3 linked regions of the Caenorhabditis elegans genome follow. The protein of the gene in region 2 interacts with the protein of the main gene of each other region in a biochemical or structural test. Each region holds a gene or a part of one and is shown on either strand. Other genes may lie near its edges.

Region 1 (4,997 bases), on a different chromosome or scaffold from region 2:
ACGAAATCACCGTTGAAAAGCTGAAAATTTGGCCATTTTTTGAGCATTTTTCACATATTTTAAGTGAAAATTTGGCCATTTTCGGGGGTTTTTGGGGTGAAAATTAGGTGTTTTCGTGATTTTTAGAGTCAAAATTTGGTAATTTTTGTGGTATTTCTGCAATTTCAGCAAAAAATTGAAATTTTTTCAAGTTTTTTGATGAAAAATTGCCAATTTTTGGTGAAAATCAGGATTTTTTAAAATGAATTTTAGCCAAAATTTCGAGCATTAAAAAAGAGCATTTTTCAGCTTTTTAGTGAAAAAAAAATATTTTGCATTGATTTTTAAGTCAAAATTTCGAAATTTTGATGGTTTTTTGTAGAAAATTCGACTTTTTCAAGATTTTTGACAAAATTTTGGCTTTCAGGCGGTTTTTAGTAAAAAAATCGAGCATTTTTCATAAATTTAAAGTCAAAAATTGGCAATTTTTTTGCTTTTTGCTAAAAATTCGGAATTTTTCAATGACTTCTGCCAAAACTTTGAAAAAAAAAATCATTTCAGGGTTTTTATCTGAAAATCCGCATTTTTGGTGAAAATTCCTCAATTTTCAGCTGTTTTGGTTTTAATGTTTGAAATTTTTTCACGAATTTCAATCAAAATGTCGATTTATTGAGCTTATTTCAATAATTTCTGCAAAAAAATTCAATTTTTAGAGGTTTTTCACTAGAAAACATGATTATATCACAAAATTTGCCTATTTTCATGATTTTCGGTCAAAAATTGGAAATTTTTATGAATTTTAGCTCAAAATTCCTCAATTTTCCCGGATTTTCAGTCAAAATCTCTCATTTTTCAGCGCTTTCCCCGTACATATGGATTAGTCTCCGATGGATATCCATTAATCTCGAAAATATTGCACAAATCGTAGAATTGTCCGTGAACATCACCGCAAATCGTGAATTTCTTGCCAGTTGGCACCGTAATTTCAACCATTGTTGGCAGTGATTTGACATAATTATAAAACTCGAGGAGCATCTTGAACGCGTACTTTTTGTGCAATTTTTGCTGATTTTTGAACGTTTTGATGAGTTGCAACACGAATTCCTTGGTTATCTGAAAAGGATTTTGATCATTTTTGCGGTTTTTTACGGAAAAAACGGGAAAAAACTCAATTTTTCGCTTTTTTTTAACGAAAAATTCACTTTTTTTCTGTATTTTTTGCGGAAAATCGATTTTTAGACTAAATTTCTATGAAAAAAAAATGATTTTCAGGCGAATTTTTCGTGAAAAATTGACTTTTGGACTAAATTTCTATGAAAAATAGATTTTTGGACCAATTTTTTAATGAAAATTCCAGAAAATCCAAAAAAGATTGGAAATTTGCACGTTTTCTGACCGGAAATGCTAGTTTTTTTTTGTGAAAAATCGATTTTTGGGTTAAAATTGCAGTGAAAAATAGATTTTCAAATTAATTTTTATGAAAAATAGTTTCAGGACCACTTTTCCCTTGAAAAATCGATTTTTTGGACTAATTTTCGCAAAAAAATTCGAATTTCTGGCCTATTACCCTTGAAAAACGTATTTTTAGATCGATTTTCACAAAAATTTATGTTTTTGGACCGTTTTTTAGATCAAATTTCTATGAAAAATTGATTTTTACATCAGTTTTCCACCGAAAATCGCAATTTCCGCTCTGAAAATTGAATTTCGGGGTCAAAATTGCCGGTTTTACATCAATTTTCCGTCTAAAAATCGATTTTCACAGCCATTTTCCACCCGTACTTTATCTTCCAGCCGTGGACCATCATACGAATCCTCAATAGCCATTGCATTAATATCAAGAGTCTCGGCGACGGTTTTCTTGTCGTGATCCGTCGAAATTGCGGCTTCAAACTTCTGTCGGCGGACGATTTTCGAGCATTCGTCGAATTTTGCGCGAGCGTCTTTGTCGTTGGGGCAAACCTGCAAAAAAATGGAAATTTTTTCGGGGAAAAATACGGGAATTTTTGAAATTATACTAAATTTGAGAGAAAAATTATCAAAAATCACGTTTTTCTCATAAAAATTGGTTTTTTTTTTCATAAATATCGATTTCTTTTCAATTTTTTCGGCCGAAAGCTGTCAGCAGCGCCCAAAATTGAATTAGCAGCGCCCAAAACTTGTAGTTTGTAGTTTAAGCAGCGCCCAAAATTAAATTAGCAGCGCCCAAAATATTGTAGTTTGTAGTCTAACAGCGCCCAAAATTGAATTAGCAGCGCCCAAAACTTGTAGTTTGTAGTCTAAGCAGCGCCCAAAATTGAATTAGCAGCGCCCAAAATCTTGTAGTTTGTAGTCTAAGCAGCGCCCAAAATATTGTAGTTTGTAGTCTAAGCAGCGCCCAAAATTGAATTAGCAGCGCCCAAAATCTTGTAGTTTGTAGTCTTAGCAGCGCCCAAAATTGAAAAAGCAAAATTTCAAATTTTTCGCGTTTTCCGACTTTCTGGAGGTGAAAATTGATATATTTTTTCGAAATTTTCTCTTAAACCGGGTGAAAAATAGTTTCTAAACCGCCGTTTTTTCCGCTCTTCAACACCCAAAAAAAGTGAATTTTCACCTTAACAACCGCCTGATAATCGGTCAACGCCTTTTTAAACCGCCCCAGAGCCATATTGGCGGTAGCTCTTCTATAGAATCCCTTCACATATGACGGATCAATTGCAATCGCGTTGTCCGCATCCTCAAGAGCACTTCCGTAGAGCTCTTTCTTCAGATAGGCCTGTGCACGGTTTCCGTAAAGAACCGCCGTCGGATGAATCTCAATTGCGACAGAGTAGAGGTCGGCGGCCACGTCGTACACTTGATCTGCAGCAGGAAAATACTTTAAAATTCATCAAAAAATCGGTTTTTTTCCAAAAAATACCCTTAAAAAACTGATTAGCTTCATCTTTAATCATTCCAGCCTTCTCCTTCTCATCTTCGTACGACTTTTCCTCAATTGACTCCAAAACTGTCGCCACAATGTCATCTGTTATAGTGGCAGCCATTTCGGAGCCTGAAAATTTAGATTTTATTTTTTTTTTTCTTTTTTTTCTCTTTTTTTTTAGCGAAAAAAACCGAATTTCGGAGCGGTTTCCCTAAAATTTAACCGTGTTTTTCGAAATGTTGAGCCTGAAATTCACAAAAAACACAAAAAATGCAAGAAAATCGATAGAAAATGAAGAATTTTGGGACAATTTCCGGTTGGACGGGGTTTTTTTTTTTTGCACAATTGCTCTTGTGTGTGGATTTACGGTAAACAACACGCGGTGGGAGGTGAGCGGAGTGTCGTTGTGTTTGGGTTTTTATTGGATTTTAAGGGTTTTTCGATGATTTCAAAGGTTTTTTACAGGGGAAAAATAAATAATAGCATGAAAACGTTGATTTTTTCATATTTTCGTAAAAAATTTACAGAAAAAAAGCTTAAAAATCGCTTGATTTCGGCAATTTTGACAAAAAATTTCTTGTTTGGATTTACGGTAAACTACACGCGTGGCCGGGATTTCGGAGCAACGTTGTCACTTTTTTTTTTTTTTTCATTTTATTTCTGGAATTTTCGCTATTTTACTCATTTTTCGACTAAATTTTCAATTTTCCGATGTCAAAATTCGGTGGAGCAACTGCAAAAGTCATAAAAGGCGCGCTAAAAGTCCGACAAACGAGGTAATTCTGAATTTTCCCGGAAATCTGCCAATTTTCACCCCGAAAAAGTTTCAGAGCGGCTCTCACACTTACCAACGAAGCCGTCAGCAGAATACGCGTGTTATTGGCTCAACAGAATGATGCAAATGCGTTGAAAGTTCGTTTTTTCCGTCGATTTTTCGATTTTTCGATTTTTGCGCCGCCGGAAATGATGAAATTTTTAATTTTTTCAGATCGGAGTTCGACAAAAAGGCTGTAATGGGTTAACATATACACTGGAATATGCAAAGGATAAGCAGAAATTTGACGAGGAAGTTGAGCAGGTAGAAATTGCCTCAAAATCTGGATTTTTAGCTCAAATTTATCACAAAAAACCCGGATTTTCACTAATTTCGATGAAAAATCCCCCAATTTTTCCCATTTTCCAGGACGGAATCAAAGTGTGGATCGAACCAAAAGCTCAGCTCTCGCTACTCGGCTCAGAAATGGATTACGTCACCGATAAGCTATCGTCGGAATTCGTTTTCCGAAATCCTAATATTAAAGGAACGTGTGGATGCGGAGAATCTTTTAGTATTTGATTTGATGATGATTTGCTACGCTATTTACCATAATTTAGTAGTGATTTCCACGTGTACATTCTAGAAAAAATGCTAATAAATTTGAATATAGTGCAGAAAATTTGGCAATTTTCAGGTGAAAAACATATGAAGTTTGCATGATTAACTTGTTTGGAGAAAAATACAAAAGATACAAAAAAATTCGACCACGCTGGGGGCTCGAACCCCGGAGGTGTGATTGGTAGTCGGCGAAAATCCCACTGCGCCACTTGGACACATTTTTTTGAAAATTCAGAAAAACGATGGAAATTATAAGAAATCACGGTTTTAAGTTAAATTTTAAATTTTTATATGTGAAAAACTCACAAATTTTAGATTTTAAAAAAAATTAAAGTTTAAAATTCAATTTTCACCATGTTCTCGTAGTTTTTGTGTTCTAAAACTTGAAAATTCGGATTCCGCATGGTGGAATTATCCGAAAACCATTTAAAAATCAAAATAAAAATTTTTTACCACAGCGGGGACTCGAACCCCGGAGGTATGATTGGTAGTCGGCGAAAATCCCACTGCACCACTTGGACACAATTTTCGAAAATTCAGAAAAACGATGGAAATTATAAGAAATCACGGTTTTAAGTTAAATTTTAATTTTTTATATGTGAAAAACTCACAAATTTTAGATTTTTAAAAAAATTAAAGTTTAAAATTCAATTTTCATAATGTTCTCGTAGTTTTTGTGTTCTAAAACTTGAAAATTCGGATTCCGCATGGTGGAATTATCCGAAAACCGTTTAAAAATCA
Region 2 (4,893 bases):
ACGTCAGCAGGCAAAATCAGTTGAGAACTCTGCGCCTCAACTCCCGCATTTTTTGTAGATCTACGTAGATCACGCCGAAATGGCACGTTATTGGGTCTGCTAAATCAAAATTTGAAGTTTGTAGGCTAGCAGACCCATCCTAGACTCACTTCCATACAAGCTCAATTGTGCCAAGGAAAATGGGACAAAAACTAGTAGAATAAGCCGCGAATTTACCATTTTCAGCCAAAAAATGACCGATAATACATCCATTATTGAACTTTATAGTTGTCAGGCGGAGACTAACGTTTGCTTACAAAACATCACTTTCAAAAAATCGTGAGAAAAAAAAACGAATAAACACAATAAGAAGAAAGTTGATGATGATAATCTTTATGCTATTCCGAATTGGAATTTTTGAATACGAAGTGGAACGATTCTCGAAGCAAAAAAAAACTTTTTTACAGGTGTTCGAGAGGGAAAATAAACAGTAAATGTCGTGGGGGGTGTAGAATAAATAAAGAAATAATTGGGCCATTTTCAGTGAATCTTGGGGAAAAAGTAAAGTGCGGTGCAGAAAAAACAAGTAGATCAGGGGAACTTTCAAACGGGGAATAATGGGGAAATTTAGGAGCTGGTTGTTGGCTCTTCCTCGGCTGGAGCAGCTTCCTCATCGTCGTCGTCGTCGTCAGCTTTTCCGGGCACCCAGAGTCCAGAGGCGATGCATCGATCGAAATGGTACTTGAAGACCTGAAAATTTGGATTTTTGGATGTTGAAATTAGATGAATTTGGCTAAAAATAATAGCCTACAAACTACTAATTTCGATTTAGCAGACCATAGGTGGTTTTGAAGAAATTTGGTCTGCTAGACTACAAACTACAAAACTCGATTTAGCAGACCAAAATTAAAAAATGCCTGTTTTCAGCTTAAAATTTTGATTTTTGATTCGTTTTTTTTTGGAATACAATGTTAATTCACTCAAAAATTTGAAAATAGATCAATTTTCCCCCGAAAGTTCAGATTTTTTCAGGATTTTATATTAAAATACGCACTTTTGTCTTAAAACACAAAAATCGCACAATTTTCCACTAAAAATCGCAAAAAACCTGAATTTTTGCTAATTTCTATTTGAAAAATATTCATTTTTCCGCTGAAAAATTGAAAATTTATCAATTTTTGCAATTTTCATTGCGAAAATTGAAAACTTTGGGTCTGCTAGTCTACAAACTACACATTTCGATTTAGCAGACCAATGCCATTTTGAAGAACCTTGGTCTGCTAGACTACAAACTACAAATTCCGATTTAGCAGACCAATGCCATTTGGAAGAAACTTGGTCTGCTAGACTACAAACTACAAATTTCAATTTAGCAGACCCAAATATTCACCTCTTCATCCATTTTCTGGGCGACACCCTTCAACGCCTCGATATCATGTGCCTCAAAGCACTTTCTCATCTCCTCCGGCAGCTGCTCGAACACTTCCTGTGGATCGATTCCTCCCGGAGCACTCTTCATTCGTTCGGCTTTCTCCTCGGCTTCAGCCTCCTCCATCGCGGCGTCTCTCTTCGTCTGCGCACGTGTTCTGAGACGATCCTCGAACGCCTTCACCTCATCCTGATAGTGCTTCATGTAGACCGGCTCGGCGGCTTCGAACTTCTTGAAGAATTGCTTCTGGACGGTGGTATTCGTGGCGACTGCGTTCAGCGATTTCGAGAGCTCCAGAAGATATTGAATGATGATGCATTGCTCAGCCATCGTCTTCATTTTCTCCTCATTAAAATCGATGGCGGCGTTGAGAGCCTCAATTGTGAGCCAATTTGCAGTGTACTCCGACGCCATATGCGGATGCTCGGCCAGGAACAGCTCCGTCGACTTGGCTCCGTTCTTGAGCACGGCCATCTTCTCCAGAAGGCTCTCGTGAGTCTCGAAGAAAGTGCTCATCGCATGAGTGTCCTCCTCATCGGTTTTGGGAGCTTGCGGCTTCTTCTCGGTGATCTGAAATTACAGAATTAATCAATTTGCACAGAAAAATCTTCAAAACCTTATTGATCCTCGACGTGCTGAACGCCTCATGACCGATCGTGTCGACGTTCCATGGCTCCAGACGCTCTTTCTCCTCGAGTTCGGCCTCCTTCTTGCGCCAGGCTTCTTCTTGCGCCTTCACCTCGTCGATTTGCTTCTGAATATCCGACTTGTCAGTGACATCGGCTGCGGCAAGCTTCTTCTCGAGCTCCTCCATCTTCTTGCTCGTCGTGCCCTTTTCCTTATCGATTTTCTCCTGTTCCATCTTCTTCTCGGCCATTCGCTCCAAACGAGCTTGATGGCGCCATCTGAAGAGCGACGGAGTGTCAATGTTCGGGTGAGTGTCGTCCTCGTCGTCGGAAACCTCGATATCCTTCCATTTGGAGTAGTCGATTGGCATTTTTGAGCTGAAAATCGAGAAAATTGAGTGGAAAATAAGGAATTAGCAGGAAAAGCGAGAGAAAACTGATAATCGCTGGAAAATTCCGACTCGGTTGCCACGACAACGAGGATAATCCGCGTGAAATTACGAAAACAGAAATTTCATGAAGAAAACGTGGCATTATAATGATGTTTCAAAGGATTTACGTGGAATTAACTATTTGCTGAGCAATTTTCGAGAAATTTCTTCAAAATTTCTCAAATAGAAATACTACGTTTTCTAGCGGATTTCGGCCTTTTTTTTGGCCCAAAACTCCGACAAATTGATTTTTAAAAGCCTGTAGAATTAAATTTAGACTTCTAAAAGTGGAAAAAATCGAAGGAAACCCCGAAAATAACATGAGAAAGGCGAAAAATGACTTTTGTTTTTCTTCTCGGTCCTTCTGTGGCAATGCGCGTCAGATATGGTGTTTTCTGTGTGCTTCTGCGTCACGGTGTTTGCACACAATTCCTTTTTCGCTGATTTTTTTAATTTTCAGCGCGCTGCAGCGCCATTTCTTGCATTTTTCAAGCATTTCCATTGATTTTTCCGCGAAAAAACATCTGAAATTTCAAAAAATCAATGTTAAACTCACAATTTTTCTTCTTCGCACTCGCTGTCCCTCTTGAAAACTCGCGAAATGACTGTATTTCCTTTTTTTTTCACGCAAAATTTCCAAATTTCCATGTTTTCAGGGTAGTTCAACACGTGAAAATGGCTCTTCTCACCTCAAAGCTTCGGTATCTTCTGCTCTTCTACGCAGTCTTCCAGGCTGCTCAATTTGGCCTCCGCTGGAAGTCTTATGACATCTCGCCGAAGCAGTTCAAGACTATCGCTGGAAAGGCTGCTGGTGAGGAAAAACATATTTTTCTGCGAAAATACCGCAATTTTAATATATTGTATATTTTCAGCTGCTCCAACAATCTCCCAGTCAATTTCCACATTGACGTCTGGAATGCGCACTTATTACGAGCCAATCATGCCAAGTCACTTCGAATGGCACGCTATTCAGTTGGGAGGCCTCACTTTAAGGGTGAGGAACAGGAAAAATCGAAAAAAAATCTTAAATTTAATGAATTTTCCAGATGTACCCAATGCTGACCGCTTTCACCGAGTTCGCCGCCGCCTTCTCCGCTCCGTTCCCAACTTCAGGACGCCCGGGGCTCCATTGGGCAAATACGACGTGCACCGTGTTGAAAGGAAAAGTCAGCCGATTCAATGACGGAACTCAGGACGAGACGTCGGAGAACTTTGCTTCGGGAGCCGCTTTCAGGCACGGACAGTTCGAGTCCCACGTGTACAGCTTCGAGAAGGACACCTACGTCGCGTGCTACGGTAAATTACACCGAAAATCAAGGAAAATTCGTTTTTTTTTGAGTCTGGCAGACCAATTTCGAATTAAAATCACCTGGGTCTGCTAAATATAATTTTGTAGTTTGTAGTCTAGCAGACCAATTTCGAAATCAAATCACTTGGTCTGCTAAATATAATTTTGTAGTTTGTAGTCTAGCAGACCAATTTCGAACTGAAATCGCATGGTCTGCTAAATACAGTTTTGTAGTTTGTAGTCTAGCAGACCAATTTCGAATTGAAATCACTTGGGTCTGCTAAATATAATTTTGTAGTTTGTAGTCTAGCAGACCAATTTCGAACTGAAATCGCTTGGTCTGCTAAATATAATTTTGTAGTTTGTAGTCAACCAGACCCATATAAAAATCCCCTCGTTTCTAATGAATTTTTATATTTTTCAGGTCGCGGCTTCCTCCCACTCTCCTCCACCGTCCACGTCACCTCTGGAATCTCACTCGGCGAGCCACTCTCGGTCATTCAATTCTACATGAAGCAGGCCTACAACTACTGGAACAACCTGAGCCACACCCTCTATCGTGTCTTCCAGCACTACAAGGCCCGCGCCACTGGAGAACTTTAAATAATTTATGTGATTCCCCATCCGGTGCATTTCTACAAGCATTCTAACCCGAAATTTTCATTTATTCAGTCATGTTTTATCCCAATGTCCCCCCTCTACTTCCATTTTTACGGTTGTGTAATTCGATTTCTTGAGCCATTTTATTGCATAATTTAAAATACAAGAACATATTTATTTCATCACCTCAACCATTTAACCATATAGCTCAACCGAAAAAAATAATTGCACAGGTATTTGAAGGCATTTGCAGTGAAAGATGATCAAAAGTCGCTGCTTACTCATCGTCGGCCAGCCGGACGAATCGAACAGTAGTTCTGGTGAGGGAAACCTTTGCCTTGATCCCTCTTTTGCACACAATTTGGACGTGTTGAACCATTCCATCATCCACGACCAGAGGATCTTCGTATCTAGTAAAGTCTATTCCGCGGAGAATAGTTCCATGTACAGGATGCTCAATATTCAGACCATCTACAACAAGATCACTGATTCTCAGCTGTGAGTTCTGAATCCAGATCTTCAAGAACAAGTTGACATCCT
Region 3 (4,593 bases), on a different chromosome or scaffold from region 2:
GAGAGCCCGGAACACAGAAAGAGCTCAGTAAAGCTGCTTTCAATTTCTCAAGGGCAGTTGGAAAGAGTTGGCATGGTAACGGATGTCAATTTGAGCACGCATCAACAGATTTGCGTGCGCGGAAAGCGGATTTTTCAAGAGAATAAGCATATGTTCATAAAACGATTATCGAAAAATTTTTATTTTTAGAAATAAAATGAGAGATTAGACAGCAAGGTTTGGTGGGATTGGAACAATTTCATCTTCATCTTCTTCTTCCGGATTCCACCAACGAACATCCAACTTGCGTCCTTCGAAATCTTCATTGACAGGATCCCAGAGGTTATAATTGAAATTTGGACGTGGAGGTGGATTGAATGGCTTTTCCTGAAACATGAAAAGATATTAAACTCATCTCCAACTCATGTATAAACCGGTTCTGGAATGATGCAGCAAACAGCACTGGCCAAGATCAGGAAACATGCCAACTCGAATAAGATTGCAATCATGTTTCGTATAAACTAAAACTGTTTAATTTCCCTCGAGTATCTAAACTGTTCAAATGTGCTTCTTCAAAAGTTCACGTTTGCAAAAAAAAACATTGATGAAATTAATTACGGAACTTTATTTGGGTTCGATAGACAGGAAAACAATGAATAAAACTGTGGAGGGGCTTTTGGGGAGATCTTCTCGTAACAAATGATAAATTAAATAGGATGTTTAGTCGACCTCCTCCATGCGGGAAGCATCCTCCTCAGCTCCCTCAATCTTGGCCTCAGCGGTGCACGATGATGGAACAGCAGAATCTTCAATTTCGTCATCTCCGATATCGAGACCAAGCTTGATCATTCTGTAGATGCGGGAAGCGTGAGATTGTGGCTCCTCAAGGGAGAATCCGGAAGCGAGAAGAGCAGTCTCGAAAAGAAGAACAACCAAATCCTTAACGGTCTTGTCATTCTTATCGACCTCGACACGATCACGAAGTGTCCTGAAATAGCAAAAACGTTTGTGAATGTTCATTTTAAAATAGTTTTTGGGTAACTTACTTCATGATAGCGTGGTCTGGGTTGATTTCGAGATGCTTCTTGGCGGCCATGTATCCCATAGTAGAGGAATCACGAAGAGCTTGAGCTTTCATGATGCGCTCCATGTTAGCGGACCATCCGTACTCGGAAGTGACAATGCAGCATGGGGAAGAGACAAGACGGTTAGAAACTCCAACCTTCTCAACCTTCTTCTCCAAAATGTCCTTGATGACCTTGCAAAGGTTTTCGTAGGCAACCTTGTCCTCTTCGAACTTCTTCTTCTCCTCCTCGGTTTCTGGGAGCTCGAGTCCTTCCTTGGTGACGGAGACAAGCTTCTTTCCATCATACTCCTTGAGTTGTTGGACGCAGTACTCATCAATTGGGTCGCACATGTAGAGGACTTCGAATCCGCGGCTCTTAACACGCTCGACGAAAGCTGAAGCAGCAACAACATCCTTGGACTCTCCGGTGATGTAGTAGATTTGAGTTTGGTTCTCCTTCATGCGGGAAACGTATTCCTTGAGGGAAGTTGGCTCATCTCCAGCGGAGGTAGAGTAGCGAAGGAAATCGGAAAGCTTCTTGCGGTTAGTAGAGTCCTCGTGGATTCCGAGCTTGAGATTCTTTCCGAATTGCTCGTAGAACTTCTTGAAGTTGTCTTTGTCCTCGGCAACCTCGTCGATAAGCTCCATGCACTTCTTGACAAGATTCTTACGGATGACCTTCAAGATCTTGGATTGCTGGAGCATTTCACGAGAGATGTTAAGTGGAAGATCCTCAGAATCGACGACTCCCTTGATGAAGTTAAGGTATTCTGGCATGAGCTCTTCGCAGTTCTCCATGATGAAGACACGACGAACGTAGAGCTTGATGGAGTTCTTGCTCTTCTTGTTCTCGAAGAGATCAAATGGAGCTCTTTGTGGGACGAAGAGAAGAGCACGGAATTCAAGTTGTCCCTCAACGGAGAAATGCTTGACGGCAAGATGATCTTCCCAGTCATTGGACAAGCTCTGAAATTAATGGAATTATTGCCATAAAATAATTAAAACTAAAAATACCTTGTAGAACTCAGCATATTCTTCGTTGGAGATATCGTCTGGGTTTCTGGTCCAGATTGGCTTGGTCTTGTTAAGCTCTTCGTCTTCGAAGTACTTCTCCTTGATTTTCTTGGTCTTCTTCTTGTCAGCGTCGTCAGCGACGTTCTCGACCTCTCCCTCCTTCTTCTCCTCATCCTTAGCCTCGACAGCCTCCTCATCTTCAACCTCCTTCTCACGCTCCTTCTCAACCACAAGCTTGATTGGGTATCCGATGAACTGAGAATGCTTCTTAACGATCTCCTTGATCTTGCGCTCCTCGAGGAAGTCAATCTGATCCTCCTTGATGTGCATGACAATCTTCGTTCCACGGGTGACCTCTGGGTCATTGAATGGACGAACGACGAAAGAACCTCCTGCGGAAGACTCCCATTGATAGCTGTCATCATCGTTGTTCTTGGATGTGACGACAACCTTATCGGCGACAAGGAAAGCAGAGTAGAATCCGACTCCGAACTGACCAATCATGGAAATATCAGCTCCAGCTTGAAGAGCCTCCATGAAGGCCTTGGTTCCAGACTTGGCAATGGTTCCAAGGTTGTTGACAAGATCGGCCTTGGTCATTCCGATTCCGGTATCCATAATGGTAAGGGTCTTTTCCTCCTTGTTTGGAGTAATTTTGATGAACAATTCCTTTCCAGTGTCAAGCTCGGATGGCTCGGTGAGTGCCTAAAACCGATATTTTAAAAAATTGACTCAGAAGCGAAAAAACAAACCTGGTAGCGAATCTTGTCAAGAGCATCGGAGGCGTTTGAGATCAATTCACGCAAGTAGATTTCCTTGTTACTGTAGAAAGTGTTGATGATCAAGCTCATCAACTGAGCAATCTCAGCCTGGAATGCGAAGGTTTCGGCGTTCTCGGACATGGTTCTGGAAAAATATCAATTAACAATCGAGCAACAAAAACTGAATAGAACTTTATAACGATTCAATGAATGAAAGAGCACGCATGGCGAATGATTTCGAAACTAAAAACACATTATAACCTTATCTAGAAATGAACTAATTTTAGGCCTAAAACTATTGTTCAAAAACCTTTAAAAATCAAAAACAATGATCCGTGATTAACATAAAAGCCATATTAGTGAGAGGAAAACCAAAAATCTTCACCCGAAAACCGAAAGAACTGGGAATATCAGAGCTCTGAGGCGTAATTGAAGGTCTAAATTTTGAACAAGATGCGAAATGTTCTCGAAGGAGGGCGTGGCCTTTCAATTTGATTGGTTGGTTTTCAAATTGCCCTTTTCGGCGGAAAATTCTCGACGAAAATTGTCAATAGAGCGCGTTTTCAGCACCTGGCCGAAGTTTTGCAGAATAGGTAACTAGGCCACAAACATTTTCTTGTTTTTAGTTTGAATTGTTTTTTCTTCATTTTTTTCAGATTACTTCGTCGAAAAGACGTTTTTTTGGTATTTTTGCACCAAAAAAAAATCTAAAATTATTATTCTATATTAAATAAAATCCCGAAATAAACTATATGTCACTCTCAATATTGAACTCGTTGAAAAATATTGCTTTCATTGGTTTTTATTTTATTTTTGCAGTTAATAAAATGTCCCGCGCCGACGAAGGCCGCTTGATTCATTTGGCAAAGAAACGTGAGCGTGAAAAGGAAGATATCGAACAACAATTGCGAAAGCTTGAAGAAGACAAAGAAAAATGTATGGTGAAACCCCTTTTTAATTATTAAAACTACAAATTTTGCAGGCAGGGTCGGAATTACGAATAAATTCATGGCAAACTATGAAACAGTCGAAGAAGTCGTGAAGTCTAAAACCTATGGCTTGGTATCATTGGATGATATGAAAAATATTCAGAAAAACGAAATTTCAAACAGGTTCGATTTTCTACATTTTGGAGAGCCTCACAATAAAAATGTGTACCTTATAGAGATCTACAAGTGGCCCGGGGAGACCAATCATCTTCTACTCAATCTAAAGATTCACAAGAAGCTCGAGAAAAAGAAGAACACGTTGCAAAACATACCCAGGTAAATGTGAAGGATTGCTGTAGAAATTTGGTTGTAGGCTCTAGACTCGGGTAGCAGTTGTAGTTCAATTGACTAGAGATTTCTCGTCGAAAGAGTCTTTTATACCAGATTTCTAAAAATTTGAGAACTTTCGAGAAAGAAAAATTGAGGGCAGGTGAGAGTGTGAGGAAACGCAGATATAAAACATTTTTGTAGAACATTCGAGAAAAACTGTTTTAATATTGCTAATTTCAGAAGCGATTTTTATCGTTTGCATTTGATGACGAAGAGGACGAAGAAGATGCTGCACCAATTATCCCGAAAAAGGTAAGAATAATAATTAAAAAGAAAAAATTAAAGCGAAAAATGTTTGCAGCGCGTTGGAATGGACCCAACTGTCGACACAAGCTTCCTGCCTGATAAAGAACGAGAGGAGTTCTTGAGAAAGTGAGTTCTAGAAGAAAAAACAACGACATTTCAAATTTTGGCGGGTGTAGATCATCCCGGTGAACAAATAAATAAAAAATAA

Evidence for each region.
Region 1: of the proteins of cdc-37 (region 2) and pph-5, one has a biochemical effect on the other in vitro, tested with the Caenorhabditis elegans proteins (one study listed by BioGRID).
Region 3: the proteins of cdc-37 (region 2) and hsp-90 form a complex in vitro, tested with the Caenorhabditis elegans proteins (3 studies listed by BioGRID).

The regions. Positions count from the first base shown.
Region 1 is NC_003283.11:19,188,560-19,193,556, reverse strand, and holds the start of pph-5 (Serine/threonine-protein phosphatase 5), read right to left. Parts: upstream 3,011-4,997; 5' UTR 3,003-3,010; coding exon 2,879-3,002; intron 2,821-2,878; coding exon 2,573-2,820; intron 1,942-2,572; coding exon 1,762-1,941; intron 1,093-1,761; coding exon 850-1,092; intron 21-849; coding exon 1-20. Other genes in the region: Y39B6A.3 (Iron-sulfur cluster assembly 1 homolog, mitochondrial), read left to right, coding at 3,593-3,657, 3,706-3,793, 3,870-3,959, 4,065-4,217.
Region 2 is NC_003280.10:577,481-582,373, forward strand, and holds cdc-37 (Hsp90 chaperone protein kinase-targeting subunit), read right to left. Parts: upstream 3,114-4,893; coding exon 3,022-3,113; intron 2,413-3,021; coding exon 2,025-2,412; intron 1,979-2,024; coding exon 1,370-1,978; intron 1,235-1,369; exon of another isoform or gene 1,181-1,234; intron 730-1,180; coding exon 607-729; downstream 1-606. Other genes in the region: W08F4.7 (CW domain-containing protein), read right to left, coding at 150-252; W08F4.3 (Sigma non-opioid intracellular receptor 1), read left to right, coding at 3,141-3,276, 3,338-3,459, 3,512-3,761, 4,178-4,356; fbxb-14 (F-box associated domain-containing protein), read right to left, coding at 4,631-4,893.
Region 3 is NC_003283.11:14,684,532-14,689,124, reverse strand, and holds hsp-90 (Heat shock protein 90), read right to left. Parts: upstream 2,966-4,593; 5' UTR 2,962-2,965; coding exon 2,812-2,961; intron 2,765-2,811; coding exon 2,060-2,764; intron 2,012-2,059; coding exon 1,026-2,011; intron 968-1,025; coding exon 700-967; 3' UTR 586-699; downstream 1-585. Other genes in the region: C47E8.11 (uncharacterized protein), read right to left, coding at 205-366, 414-488; C47E8.4 (Protein FAM50 homolog), read left to right, coding at 3,648-3,756, 3,803-3,932, 3,986-4,085, 4,320-4,391, 4,441-4,511. UniProt on the Caenorhabditis elegans protein: Molecular chaperone that promotes the maturation, structural maintenance and proper regulation of specific target proteins involved for instance in cell cycle control and signal transduction. Undergoes a functional cycle that is linked to its ATPase activity.